Lepisosteus oculatus: one gene and its partner. The protein of the gene in region 1 interacts with the protein of each later gene in a pairwise test. Links are inferred from orthologs where the notes say so. Each region holds a gene or a part of one and is shown on either strand. Other genes may lie near its edges.

What was found. The genes of interacting proteins can lie anywhere in the genome.
Region 2: the proteins of rap1gds1 (region 1) and plekhb1 interact in binary tests that used the Homo sapiens proteins (3 or more experiments, as listed by UniProt). The two-hybrid records come from large-scale screens. The link is inferred for Lepisosteus oculatus from reciprocal best matches to the Homo sapiens genes RAP1GDS1 and PLEKHB1.

Annotation. Positions count from the first base shown.
Region 1 is NC_090696.1:65,941,721-65,949,129, reverse strand, and holds the start of rap1gds1 (rap1 GTPase-GDP dissociation stimulator 1), read right to left. Parts: upstream 3,091-7,409; 5' UTR 2,819-3,090; exon of another isoform or gene 2,730-2,818; 5' UTR 2,661-2,729; coding exon 2,657-2,660; intron 1-2,656. UniProt on the Homo sapiens protein: Acts as a GEF (guanine nucleotide exchange factor) for the Rho family of small GTP-binding proteins (G proteins) that stimulates the dissociation of GDP to enable subsequent binding of GTP.
Region 2 is NC_090700.1:9,518,611-9,525,880, forward strand, and holds the start of plekhb1 (pleckstrin homology domain-containing family B member 1), read right to left. Parts: upstream 3,006-7,270; 5' UTR 2,784-3,005; coding exon 2,747-2,783; intron 1,550-2,746; coding exon 1,397-1,549; intron 254-1,396; coding exon 151-253; intron 1-150.

The DNA.
Region 1 (7,409 bases):
ATTGGGTTTCCTTCCAAAGTACAAAGACATGCTGGCAGGTTCATTGGCTTCAGTGAAAACTGGCCCTGGTGTGAGTGCGTGCTTGTCTATGGGTTAACCCCAACTCTAAACCTACCCAGGGAGTACCCCGCCTTGAGCCCCTTAGATAGGCTCTTCTTCCCCCCATGAATCTGAATTGCATGAAGGGGTTGGAAAAAGGATGGAAACAGAAATGGATTTTATGGACGTCCCATGAAAATGACGATCGACCTGACACGGACATGGGGAAAGATAAGGTTTCTAAAGCAAACTTTCACATTTCACAATTCTCCAGGATTCCTCGCAGGAATTCTCAACTAGATGATAACTTCAAGGAAAATTTACTAAGATACTTGCAGTTCTATACCTAGACAATCTAGATCAATTATGCAATAGTATCACGGAACCACCTTACAACAGTACTGGATGAATCATGTACAGAGATGTCAGGAATAATTAAAATATTTGAGTCAAGACAATCTCTCTCAGTTGCTGGAGAGCAGGGGGTAGCATGGGGATGTGTGGAGGGTGCAATATAGCACACATGGTCTCAACACCTTCACGGGTGTATGGAGGCTCTGTGTCCTGGAGAACCAAACTCACAGGCCAAGTTCTCCATTCTTCCAAGTTCTCAAACGTCATTTGAAGACTTTGGGTGGAGCACATCGAACAGATCTCACAGCCATTACATGAGGTCCCAGAACAGTGACAATGTGAGAGTCTCAAATGCAACGCAAGGCACCGAGTATCTGAGGACAAAATTATTCAGTAAAGGTGGCACACAAAAACATGGACTATTATGTCCCCAGAAGCAGAGCAATGGATTCCCATTTCTTTTGGACGCAGTATTAAATAATGAAAGGAGAACTTGAGTGTCAATGTTTTCAGTTTCTGTATCCAAACCAGAAGACAGCTTCATATTTTGTCTATGTGCAAGCTATTCCACAAAGCCACTCAATGTAGCTCCACTATGTGCTTCACTAAGGTGACAAAGAGATCAGTGCATTTTTGTACAGACCTGAAGAAAACTCAAGATTGGTCATATCTTGAGTACCTCCTTTAGTATGTCCTTACTGAACAGGGACAAATACAATGAACACAAAATATTGCCTCCAACCGTGGTGAATTTCTTTACTTCCTGCTCTAGTGGCTTGAAATAAGGTCCTTTACCAGGATGAACACTCTTGAAGGAAAAAAGAAACATTAATTTGAAACCTCGTTACCCAAAGGGCCCCTTTAGTGATTTATCCAGAAGAAATATTTCACGTTTGAATGAGGATCAACACATTGGACCATGACTGTGAAAAATAAACCAAAAATATAACAACTTCACAGTCTCCTTTACCAGCAGGAGTTTGGTGAACCAGACCTTCTTTTTCACTTTCAGAAAATGCCCACAAGCATCATCAGGTTTTGTATCCGACCCAGATTACTGCAACAGTGTCTCAACATCTTGGCATCACACTAATAGTCATTTAATGTTTATTTTCAGAAGGATTTGTCTTCTTCCAGAACCAATCACAACCACAAAACACGACACACCATTGTATTTTATTATATCCTTTTAAGAAAAAAAAATAATGCAGTGCTCTAACAAGGCATAAAATGCCTTGTACAAGTCACATTTCATTTAATGTATCTGCACTCAAAACCACATGCTGTACACTAGTTTTAAATACTTCTAATCCAAGCAGTATCATACCATAATATAAAGCAACTATAAATTTGAATCAGGTCAAACACGACCATAACTACTCTCCTTTCCCGGAAATAAGGTAATAAAAACCCTTGCCTTCTCTTTACAGATGTTTGATGATAAAGCAGTATCCAAATTAGGCGTTGATCGGCCCTTACATTGTTAGACACATGCAGATTGTTACAATAAACAAAGTGTTTTCTGTCAAGTGCCGTCATTAATCAGTTGCACGCGCCAGGAACCCTTTTCATAGGCAAACGTGTGCAAAATAATCACACGTGGATTGCGTAACGCAATAATATTAAATATTAAAATACAGTTCCTTTGCCATAGGAGACTGCACATTGATATAGCAAATTACCGGACACGCCAACTCCAAATTGATTCAAAGCAAAACGTTTGCTATTAGGAGTATGTACAAACCTACATGCATAATACGTAATTGTCACCTTTGCACGGTTTAGTAAACACACAAAAAATAAAATTATAGAAAAGTCAAATAATTATTCATCTCAATGCAACAGAAATGGATAAATCACCACAAAACGTTACAAATGTAGGATATAAATATTATGGTCTAGCCCCCAGACCTTTTAATCAGCCTCTGTCCTAGACCAGTTCACCTACATAGTCCACTCTGTATGTGAAACCAGCCCCATCAGTGTGAGTGCGCATTTATTCGTGTTGGGCAGAGAAAAGACCATGATTAGATAACAAGATGTTCCATATGAGAGAATAACGTTAATTTGCTAAAAAAAAGATACGGTCACCCCACCAACCCGCTGCAGTAATACGCCTCTTGCAAAGAAGCCTGATACATTCAAAAAGATTAAGCTTTGGCTGCTTGACGAACTACCAACAGTATTTCAGCGATGCCCCACCAATATGAACTTGATCTATATTAGAACTTCGCATAGCGCATATCATTTTGTTAGGACTTACCCATATCGGCTGGTGAAATGCACGATAGTCCCAGACACTATTAGGATGCGGATGATGCCGAAGACTTGGACGACTGAGTAAAAAAAATGTTTTATTTTTTTTTTAATCTGGAGATGACCGTGCCGGGATTTTTAGTCACATAGACATCCGGGCAAGGCCCACCTTAAACCCGCACCGCGGCGTCCCCAGTAAGCAAAGCAGTGCACTTCACAGTCCCGCACACCAGCGGAAATCGCTGCTGCTTTACACGCACAGACACGGGGACCCCGCAAAGTTAATGGACTCGGGTTATGCAATTCTGCCAGGGGAAACTGATCTTCGTAAACACTGAAATGACATCAATCCTCCCATCTAATTATTTACTTCCTTCTACTCTAGCCGGGTTGCAGCTTAGAGAGCACCGACTCCAACACAGGGTGAGAGCCCGCCCCTCGCGTTGCTCTTGATTGGCCACTTGGCTGCACGGCAGGGAGTTGCTCCGCTGCTGATTGGACAAAGGCGGCGTCATCCGCCTGGGCCACGCCCTGCTTCGCGGCTTGGGGTTATGAGTGCTTTGCACCGCTGAGGTCTTTGAAGTCTGCCTTGCAGGTAGTAGTTGAACTTCACTGACACATCACATGTCACTACTAGTGTCATATCTGGTCTTACAGCATAATTTTCATTGATTTCTGTTCACGCACCTATTTTTTTAGTTTTCGTTACAAATGCGATTTAAGGTTCTGCACAGGCTGGACGCATTTTTTTGTGCTTATGATTCGCAGAGAGTGGATCTAAATGCGGATCAAACAAAAACGATACTGCTTCATTTAGTTCACGGGCCCTCGCCAATAAATTCTAATTACGCAAGAATGCACCATGTCTGGCTTACCTGTAGTCATCTGGGAATACAGCACCATTATCTGAATTCACAGCACAATGCTTTTAGGTCACCCTGTTTGATAAACTGGGACAGCTGCTGAATACCATGTGCCAACATTTATTTTTTCTAAACTTTTATTTTTGTTCCAGAAGAAATATGTCCTTGTTATGTTGCTTTTCGTGGAGTAGAGTTCGTAGTGTTTTTTTTACAAGAGACCTATTTTTGAAAGTTCCAGATTTAATATCTTACCGTTCTCAAAAGGAAGTATAAAATGAAGCAAACGGACAGTTTTCAGCAGTGCTAACCATCTTTCGTATTTTTAGGATTCACTTAAATGACAGCATTGCCAAGATATACGGTATCACAAGTATATGAAGGAGAAATTGTTGCAGTGGTATTCCTGCTTTTCTTGATTTATGCAAGACTAACATTTGCGGTTGTAAAACGTTATTTTCACTATAGAAAAATGTGTTTTCCGTAGACAGCTACATTGTCTCCTTCGGGCAAATGGGAATAGCTCTCTCACTTTTTACAAACAGTTCGAAGAGGACTTTCAGCAGGATCTTTCCTGGGGAATTGGGAAACAGCAAACGCCTGTTGTGTGTCTCACCCCCTTTGTTACTTAACAATATGCCCCATAGAAAAGAGAAATAATTGCAAAAGATATCATAAACAGAAAAGAAAGGAGGACTAGCCAAATACAATTAAGTCAATATTTGACTTTAATACGAATTGAGGTTAGAATTATAGCATGTTATATTTAATTATGTTACTGTATATCAAAATTCACATATTATACTGTACCTGGCAATCTTTTCAGAATGTAATTGTGTACACTTGTTGCACTCTTATGATAGTTCAGAAAGAACAATTGCAACAAATCATAGATCTGATTAATGTAACATGTTTGAACTTCCATGTCATGCATCGTCTTTCAAATCCAAAGTTCTTGATATATTATTCGTGATTTTTATCAGTGACCTTGATACTTCAAGCTTTCCTTTCTAAAAAAAAAAAATCTGGTGGTATAAGGTCTGGTATTCATAGCTGTTGCTAGAATCTTGCCTGGTCCTCCAGCACCTTATAAGTTTGAAAAAGAATCAAGTAAACATCAATTCCATGCTGACAAATACAGTATAAAGGAGAACAACAACATTTGGGCTGCTGAGCCTTCTTCTGGTGTGCTCAGCAGCCTCAGCAGAAGGCCATTTTAGATGTGTGGACCATTCAGATTGATGAATGTATGTGAACTAGTCTCCTTCTGGGACTGACTAGAACATTTGGCATAGGGCTCAACATGTTGTACAGAAGGCCCAACAGCCAAAATGTTGTTTCTCTCCTTTCTATTCGTCAGCAAAGGTATAACCATAACGTTTTCCTTTGCAACCTTCTCACACTGGTATAGCTTCCCACTCCAACATTTCATTATTCTGTTGCCTAACCAAGTCCTGTTCAAATGATGTGCAACAAGACTCCAGACTGTAACATCTTGACGTTTTGCAGCAGAAAAATCACGGGGCTGCTCTCGGTACCCTGATAGAATTGGCTCCCTGAAAGGAAATTCAGGTGTTCCCTCAAGGGCAAAAATCAAAGTTCATGGTGGTGATGGGTCATGAATAGACTTCGAGGCAGAATGCAAAGCCCTAAACTCTACTGATGGCTGCACTGCCTCCATCCCACTCAGCCTGTAGGAAGTGGACATGCTAGGAGGGGAAAGCTTCCGTGCAGAGGGCCTCAGCAGAAATCCCGTCATAGATGGTTCAAGATGTGGCACCGGCTGCTTGTTTGAGTGGTGTTTTAGACCAACATCACTTCAGTAAGCAGTGCCCAACACTTGGACACACTCTTCTTTGTGTGTAAGGTGACAATGTGAGAGCAGTGTAGCGGAGCTAGTGCAGTGACATCAGCGCTCTTCCTGCGCGTAACAGGGACCTCAGCTGCCTGGGCTGAGGGAGGTCTCCTTTAGCTCACACGGTTGGTGCCCTGTTGCCTTACGCCGGAGACGCCAGAACCACGACGATCACACAGCACCAGTAGAAGAAAGGCATAAAGTAACTCTGGAGGCTATTTGTGCATCAGGGTACCCGGCCTTACAGAACTCCTGTAGAAAGAACCAAGGTGGCAGAAGAACAAACATATCATGTCAAACAAGGCCACAGTCATTCTTGTATAAAGACTCCAAATCATTTCTATTGCCTCCAGACGGAAGCACCGTCTCCATTCAGCCATCCTGTGGACAGGCGTTCCACCATGATGTTTTAGACACAGTCCCGTCACGCAAATATCCACCAAATCTCTCTGTCCCAGTGCTGTTGCATGATCTAACATTAAGATAACCTGTTGTGTTCACCTCCAACTTGGTTCAACTGAGAACTTGTCCGTCTTCAAGGTAGTTAAGCATTTATATTCCCAGCGCTCATGAATAAGGGCCGGGGCCACAGCCATTCACTTGGAAAGACTCCACGGAGCCAGCGACAGGACTCTTTTCACACTAGCACATGAGATAAGACAAGCCTCTCAAATACAGAGCTAAATAGATATCTGTTTAGCCACCCGAGATCAAGGATTTGACAAAGAGTTCCTTCATTCTTGCTTACCAACGAATGTCCCAGAATTATTGGGGCATCCCAATAACAGTGCCTCGTTTGCATTGTGAGTCAATTAAAGGGAAAAGTAGCTCTCTCACCACAATGGGGGCATCTAATGGTTGGTATCTTGATGGTCAGTACTCTGCTCGTACAATCGGTGCCAGAAGTACTGTAAATTGTTAGCACCATATTTGATAGCTGGTACTCGGCATCAGTGGTTGATTAAATGCAAAGACAGTCGGTCTTCTGCATCACTGAAGAGGACTATATCCACACCTAAGAGGAGAACATTACAACATAATCCCAAGTAAGTAGAGACCTACTGCAGCCAAAGGTGAAAAGCAGAGAAAAAATGAAGTTGAGGACAAGAATGAGGACAAGAGGTTATACCAACTCAAGAAAAGGTCAACACGTCAGCTCATTGTAAAATGCTTCTGCCATTGTTGGGAGCTAGGAATCCAAATCCAGAATAATCTTGCGTGTTTGAAAGGTTTTAGGAAGGTTGAACAGTCAGAGAGTTAAATTGGACTAAGTAATACAAATGAATGATTTGTTTGAGAAAAAATAAAAGATTGTTGTAAGAAGCCATATACAGTAGCAGGAACAAGTTTCCTTGGACATAAAATCATTAGTCACAGAACCAAGGTCAGAAAAGCTTTATCTGTTGTCCCGAGAGTCATCCTTTTTACCACTACATGATTAGTGTCTAAATCTCAGCAAAGCCAAAAGCATGCTGTCAAGAGAGCAACTGATGGTAATAAATCACTCCAAGCTCCCCTTCTCTCATAAGAAAGGAAAGGTTCTTCTGATGATAGCCTGGAACCAATACCAATGGACCAATATCAATTTTGTATATTCGGTGGAAAGGCACTAACATGGCACTGGCCCATGGGGTAGTGATGTCATTAACCTTGAAAGGAAACAACAAACTACAGAAAACACGTTTCACAGGATAGATCTGTAGGAAGTTACATTCCCTGAAAATCGGAAAATATAGCCACAAAAATGTTTTATTGTAGATGTCACATAACAAAATGTTGAAAGGATACTTTCAACAGACACATATAGCTTTTACTCAGACCAACTGAACTTTTGTTATAGTTGAGAGCGATCGGTAACTCAAGGGAGTGCTATCGGTGGTACTGAATGTTTCTTGCAAGGTTTGTATGTTTGTAGTTAACAAAGAAATCCTGGCAGTGTCATTAGTTGTATGAAATTTAGGACATCTGATTTTTGAGATTCGCTATATTCCTGATATAAATATCCTGACAGAAAAACAGTAACTGCAGCACTCTTGTGTTCACAT
Region 2 (7,270 bases), on another chromosome or scaffold:
TGAGTTTAGTAACTACAGCACAGGGGACCTCAGAAGGATTTTGCTGTCAAGGTAAGACACACATAATCATAAGCAACTTGATTCTGTCAGGTGGAACCTGTTTCAGTCTGTCTGTTTCCTGTCAGGAAGTCGTAGATGGGGAGCACTTACAGCGCCTCGTCTTCGCTGTCAGCACACAGCGCCAGTCTGGAGCCATCCTTCAGGTAGACCAGTACCAGGCATTCCCTTGGCCTGCCCTCCGGAGGGTCCACACCTGGAAGGGGCATGTGGAGAGGTGAGGGAGTGTCCTGGTCTATTACAGTTCTCCACTTTCGCCAACAACGAAAGCCAACATGGGGTTTCACACCATCGATTTCCGAGGACTGAAGGCAGTGCTCGGGCCAGGACAGAAAACAGTGTCCCTCCAAACAAGCATTTCTATTGTACTCTGAAGAGCTTGATTTATTGGACACATATTGAATCCAAGAAAGAAGTGCAGTATGTGACAATCAATATATATATAATCTATATATTTTATCAAATATATCATTACCATCTCTTAGATGTTTTTTTATATTTAGTAGTGCATCTTTATATATGGAAACAGAGTGGATGGTGGGAAGTACTGTTACCTTTAGCAACCTTAATTTGATTTGGCACCCTGTGTGTGGAGTTTGCATGTTCTACTGTGTTGGCATGGTTTTTCTCAAGCTGTTCCTGCTTTCTCCTACAGTCTAAAGACAGACTGACTAGTAAATTAGGTTAATAAATGTCTCTTTATTGTCTGACCCTGTGTGTGTATGTGAGCCCTGCAATAGACTGGTGTCCCTTCCAGGATGTGCTGACTTGCCTCATGCCCTATACCTGCAATAGGCTCTGCAATGCTGCAGCCATTACCAGAATGTGTTTATCTCAATGAGTTGATGGATATGGATAACTGTGACCAGTATGACTCCTAGAAAAAAAGTACTTTGTTGCTTGAAAATGTATTCTAATTAATTGGGTCGAAGACGGTCCAATATCTATAAGTGGTACACTAAGATTTTTAAAGCTCTCCATTTAGAAAGACTGAGTGCAACAGTGAGTGGAAATGAAAAGTAATTTTTTTTAAAATGTGGCTGGTTTTCTTGCCCTGAGTCCCTAATGACTGTCAGGTATAATTGGAAATAGGCAAGTGTTTCTGAGCTAGAATAAGTGAGACATTATTTAAGGTATACAGACCACAAGACACTCTGTTAAATAACTGCTTCATTAATTTTCTTTTGCTTTGGTCATTTTTTAATTGTTTCTAATGTATGATTTTTCCTTATATATGTTCTTTTTTTCTGTTTCAATATTGAGAAGCTACTAAGGTTTTCTTGAAAGAAATAAGCGTAGTTAAGATAGAGGATTTGAGGATCAGCTGTGCGTATCTTACCTGCACATTCAAGTCCAGCCTTAACAGCGACACATTTATGCTTTAAGCGGACCCTGTTCTCATAGTCTCTCCGGCTCTCGTCTTCATAATACAGCAGGTTTCCGTCCACCCACAAGTCGAACCAGTTTTTCTTCCAGCGCCGGAGCACAGAACCTTGAAGAAGAATGCAGGTAATGCTGTCAAATTCTGAGGAATTACCTGCGTGTGCCGGTGACAAAGCCATCGGCTGAAAGCCTGCTGCTTGGGCGTGAGACACATCTTTCCATCGGTTTTATCCAGCTCAGGGCTGAGGGGGAACTGGAGCCAATCCCAGCAAGCAATGGGAGCAAGGCGGGATACACCTTGGGCAGGAGGCCAGTCCATCGCAGGGCAGATAGACACCCCAGGGACAATGGTTATACTGACAGTAAGTCTTAGGACTGTGGAAGAAAATAACAGCACCTGCAGGAAACCCACACAATCATAGGCTGAACTTACAAACTCCACCCAGATTGCAACCCAGGATCCCAGTGCTACAAGGCAGCAATGCTAGCCACTGCGTCATCGTGCCACACACTAGTCTATTTCTTGATAAATTACTAAAATTATGTAATCTCCATCCCTTTGGGCGATGTTGCTGGCTGGCTTCCTCCTTTAATATTTTTCTTCAGCCTTTGTCACAAATAAGTAATAGGATTAGCATCGGGTCATAAGGGTGCCGGTTTCATAACTGATGACCCTCATTTTTTACATTCCTTTAAACTTAATGGAGCTATCACCCTTCCCAAGGTTATAACAAAATACTCATCCTTTGATAACTGGATTTTCATGACCATTATAGGAATAACAAAAGTAGTATGACTGATGTTTTCTTATTCACATCCTTTCATTGTATAACTACTGTAACTTTGTTTGTATTGAGAGGCATTACAATATGTACCAAATGTGTACTGGGACCAATAGCACGTGATGTGTTTTTATTGTCTGTCAGTATATAATTCATCCTTACAAAACATATCTTGTGTCAGCCTTTACCTTTGTATACAAAATTTACATGAATTAAATTTTCAAAAATTATATTCTTATTTTTGGTATTTAAAAAACCCTCGTGTTTGGTTTATCTATAAAAACACTACTTTGAAAGGAATCATGTGCCGCACTGCTAGAGTATAGAGTTCTCTATTCGAGTTGTTTTACATTATCTGAACTTTATGTTCTATTTCTTTTTGTGGTACTACTTCATGTTTTCTTACAGCTTGTAGAGCAATAATGTTCTGTCCCCTATTGTTAATTAAGCATCATACACTTCAACTAGAGGAAAACTAATCAAAGCAGTTAAGACAGTTAACGATAAATCAAATGTCCACTTACTTTGTCTCCAAAGCCATCCTGACCTCATGAGAGCCATCTGGGGAAATTATACCTAACGTCGCCTTTAAAGTGTGACGATGAACAGTGGGAAAACGTGTCGGGAAGATCTCCTTTTGATGTTGATGACTATTCTAGGGTTTTGCTCCCTGGTTGCACAGTTCTGCTAATCGGGGAAATGGTCCCAGAGAAGGAAAGACTGCGACTCTTTGTTTTCTTCTGGGTCTCTCTGAGGCTCCCTTTAATCTCGCTGCTGACACGTGGGATAATGCGGGATTAGTGACCTGCATTAGCCTGTGGACATTGAGAAAAGCCTGGAACTTTCCTGCACAAACAGCCCTGGTCTTCCTCCGCAAGTTCCAGATTTAGAACCGACGTAGAGCTTCTGTTTAGAGCTTCCATTTAGATTTCCTTGCTAACCGTAGATCATACACACTAAACCTAAAAGCAACAATAATATCATATATTTCAGCCCTAATTTAGACACACTTTATTTCGATGCTTTTACAATACATTTGTTTTGGGAGAGGCTGGGCCATTTCTCATTTTTGCTATTGCACTGACTGCATGTTGATGTAAAATATTTTGGAAGGTAGATCTGGTAAATGCCTCTGTGCAGCTGGTATGGATGTTAACCAGAGGCACATGACCTAGGTATGAAACATGAAATAAATGAAACGGTGAATCAAACTGACATTAAATTAGCACTCAATCCATGGAAAGTGTTAGGCATTCTTAAAATTGCATTTTATATTAAAAGTTACTTATATGGATGTAACTCAGAGTGTAGTTTTTGTTTAAGGTTTTGTAGGCTATGAGGTTTGGAAATAAAATGGAACTTACAGTAAATGGAAAAAAAAGACGTGACTATGAAAGATATGAAGATGAAGTTAAGTAATTTTAAACAAATACAAATCCCAGCATGCACTGTATGTACAGTAGAGACCACCTGAGATACAGAAAGAAGACAAGTCTTGTAAGGTTGGGTCATTAAGCTCTTATGTTGTAAATCCCTGACTAATACAATTCAAATGACTCATCAGGTTGTCACAAATACTGGACTCACATGACCACGTTCCTACATTCTTGATGACTTTATCTGTTACTATTTTGCTCCATTTGGGCATTTTAGAACTATTTCTATAGTCAAGGTAGCTGAATAGAATGGAAAAATGATGAATAAACTAAGCAGAGGCCAATCGATGTGCGGCAAAACCTAATGCAAATCAAGAGTGCAGCTCTGCAAAAATAAGAAAAGAGCACTATCTGACCGGTGAATCACTGGAGTCCACAAGGCAATATGTTGAAGCTGTTGTAAATGAAGTTTTACCACACTTTTTAACAACAAGGTACCAAACACTGAAGACTCCCAAGTATTCCAACACTACAAATCCAGTTCTTCTGTTTTAGCAAACTGTCACACCATTTCATTTCCAGTGCAGAACATGCAGTGTGAACTATTATTCCTTCTTTTTTGCAGAAAAAAGGGCTATTTTACCCTGAGAGTTTAAATTACTAGATGTTTATATCATTGGAAATACCTTGTGTGTTGAGGTTGATAATAAAGACATAGAATATTAGATGGTTTATCACAAGAGGCTCTAAATGTGTATCTTACTGTAATCTTCCATACGTTTTGCAGATTTAGTGCTGCAAAATAAAAGACTTATGTATTAAATCTTCAGGGAGTCTACACCTAGTCAGTATGATATCTTAATGTCTTAATGTAATCAGTGCTGCCATTCAAGTGCTATTAATTGTTCAGCGGTCAGATCTGTGGTAGGCTCAGGACACACAGACAGCCACAGCTTGCAGCTTATCAAATGTATCCTTGACTCATGTCCCCTGCAGTGAATCTGGTTATTCTTTCAGGATATCTATGGTTTGCTTGATTTCAAACGTCTGATGTCCTGAACAAACGAAAAGGTCAGACTTCGGAGGTCTCTATAGAGAATAAAATTGTGGGCTGTCTGCCTCGTTTATCCATTTCTGGGCAGCGGGCCAAAATAAAGAGATCAAAGGGTTTAGGCCTTTAGCACAGTGATGAAGATTTGTCTTTTGTAGTACACATCTCTGCCACAAGAGGACGCTCACCAAATGCTCACTCAGACCTCGTAGAAATTGCCAAAACCGTTCGTTCGTTGCCAAAAATAATGAGATTAATGAACACCATAGAGAGTTACCTGGATTATGTTTTTTTTTTAGAAAAGGTGCACTTTACGCCACTCTGTGTGTTTTGAAGTCATTACTGGATTTATAATTAAATCTTAAATAGACAAAAGTTAAATATGCTCAAAGGGACTGTGGATTTTCTGTGCAGAACACACACTGGCAATTGATTCTATTCCGTTACAGTGTGAATCCTCTGCAGGAAATAAGTCTCAAAATCCGCTTCCATTATTGACCACACAGGGGTGATAACGCAATATTGGTCTTCTGTGGCTCTAAAGCCTGAAAAAAGCTAAATTTACCGTCATATCTATGTCATAATATTTTGAGTCAGGTCAAACGTGGCTTCAGTTTTGCATATTTTTTTGCTAAACTTAATCAAAACATTCACGTCTAGATTAACTGAATTGCTTTTAAACGATGTTGAAGATTTTTTACGGTATTAAGTCCTGATTAAATCAATTAGAGCGAGCACACGCTCAAGCAGTGCTCAAGATCTGCTCTTAAAATCTGCCCGATGTGTTGTGAGTTCAGTTGATTGCTCTAATAAACTGTTTATGATCTCCCAATAACCACTCGGAATCTGAAAACGTCGGGGTTTGTCTCACCTGGGCACTGCGCTTGCTTTCTAGTCTGATAGTATTTCTTTTCTGCAACAGACCCCATTGGTCATGTTTGGATGAGATAATAACAGACACATCTTGGTATTTTCAGATATTACAAATATGTGCACTCTGCTTCAAACGTATTTAAAGGATCGGTAGAAATATTATTTTTCAATCTGCTTTATGAATTGCTGGCGCACCTAGTCGTAGAGGGTGGCTGCTTTTCAATTGATATTGTCCCTGCAAAGACCACTGCAAGCACAACCCATAAGCGATGTGACCGCTGGTGCAGTATACGTTCATCCAAGATTGATGATGATGATGGATAAAATAAAATTAATACAATTTGTTTCAGCTCTCAAGGACAATAAAACGTTAAGTAGATCACTTATCTGGCCAAAAATGGGGTGAATTTAAAGAGTCTACACCCTGTGTCCTCCTTACTAGATTCTGTCTCAGGTTTTACATACAAAAAGTATTGGGTCCTACATATCCTAGTTCTTCATTCCCAGTCACATAACCGAACCCCTAATTGACACGATTTACGTGAACCCATTAACTGTTTCCCCTTCCAGCTTTTGCGAAGAAATAAATAACTTGCAAAGGTTTCAGCCAAGCAGTTCGCTAGTTCAATGAAGGATTCAATGAAAAGAAAAGCTCGAGTGGGTAGGAGCCCCCTGTTCTAGAACACAATGTCTTCTAACATCCACCCGGGACGTGGTTCTTTTTTTTTTTCCACGATCACGCCCGCGTCATGGATCCTCTGACACATAATACAAAATGGCCATTAAAATGTAACACATATATAACATGGCTGTTCGTCGCAAAACGAACTAATTTCATGCTCGGGGAGGACATTTCCCAGGCTATAAAAAAGAACAGCGTCTCGTTGAAACACTCCTAGAAAGACTACTAAAGTCATATATTAAAAAAACAAGCTCAACGTCATTGTCCCACTGATTAAAAATGATGCACACAGCAATTTGCTTGAAAGGCGCTAGTTTCCCCCATGTCCACGACCACGTCACTAGTGTGCGCCATGATACGCGAAGGGACAGAGAAGGGGGAGGGGGGAACAGTCTCTGTTTGTTCGTGTAATTTGACGTCACAGAGAAAAGGTCCTCCTCCAATTTGCTTGACCCCCCCTTCCTCTCCTTTCTCCCCCCTCCCTCGCCTCTCGGTATCCCCATCCCCCACATTGTGTATGCGTGTGTCTCTGTTACCAACACTGACTGCAAGCCCGAAATCGCTGGAGCAAAGCGAGCGAGAGGAGGAAACCGCCAGCGTTCATAGAGAGAAAGGAGAATACGCACAACACAGTAGTGCTCGGAAAGAGTCAGAGGAAACTGGGAATAAAGTCGATCAATCCAACTGGATTACCACGGGTAAGAGAGGATCGCTGTGTGTTGATGGTCTGTGTGTATCCTGCTAATGCGTTTTTTTTTTCCCCTCTTAAGTGTCCAAACCTGGAATGCAGTCATGCAAACTGGAAAATATGAGAAATGGAAATGGTTCGCGCATTGAGGGGTCAGAGGGGGATAAAGGACATAACGATCACAAAAATTAAAAAAAAAATATATTACTTATAGGACATTAGCTATCGTGTTGTGTGCTCTCCTTCCATCACGTTAACACACAGGCAGAAGATACTGTACACACTGAGGGATACACAGAGATGCAAATGTTCAATGAATGCAATGGAATTGTCCGTGTTCTGACTTTTTTTTGGGGGGTAGACTTTTTACAAAATGTG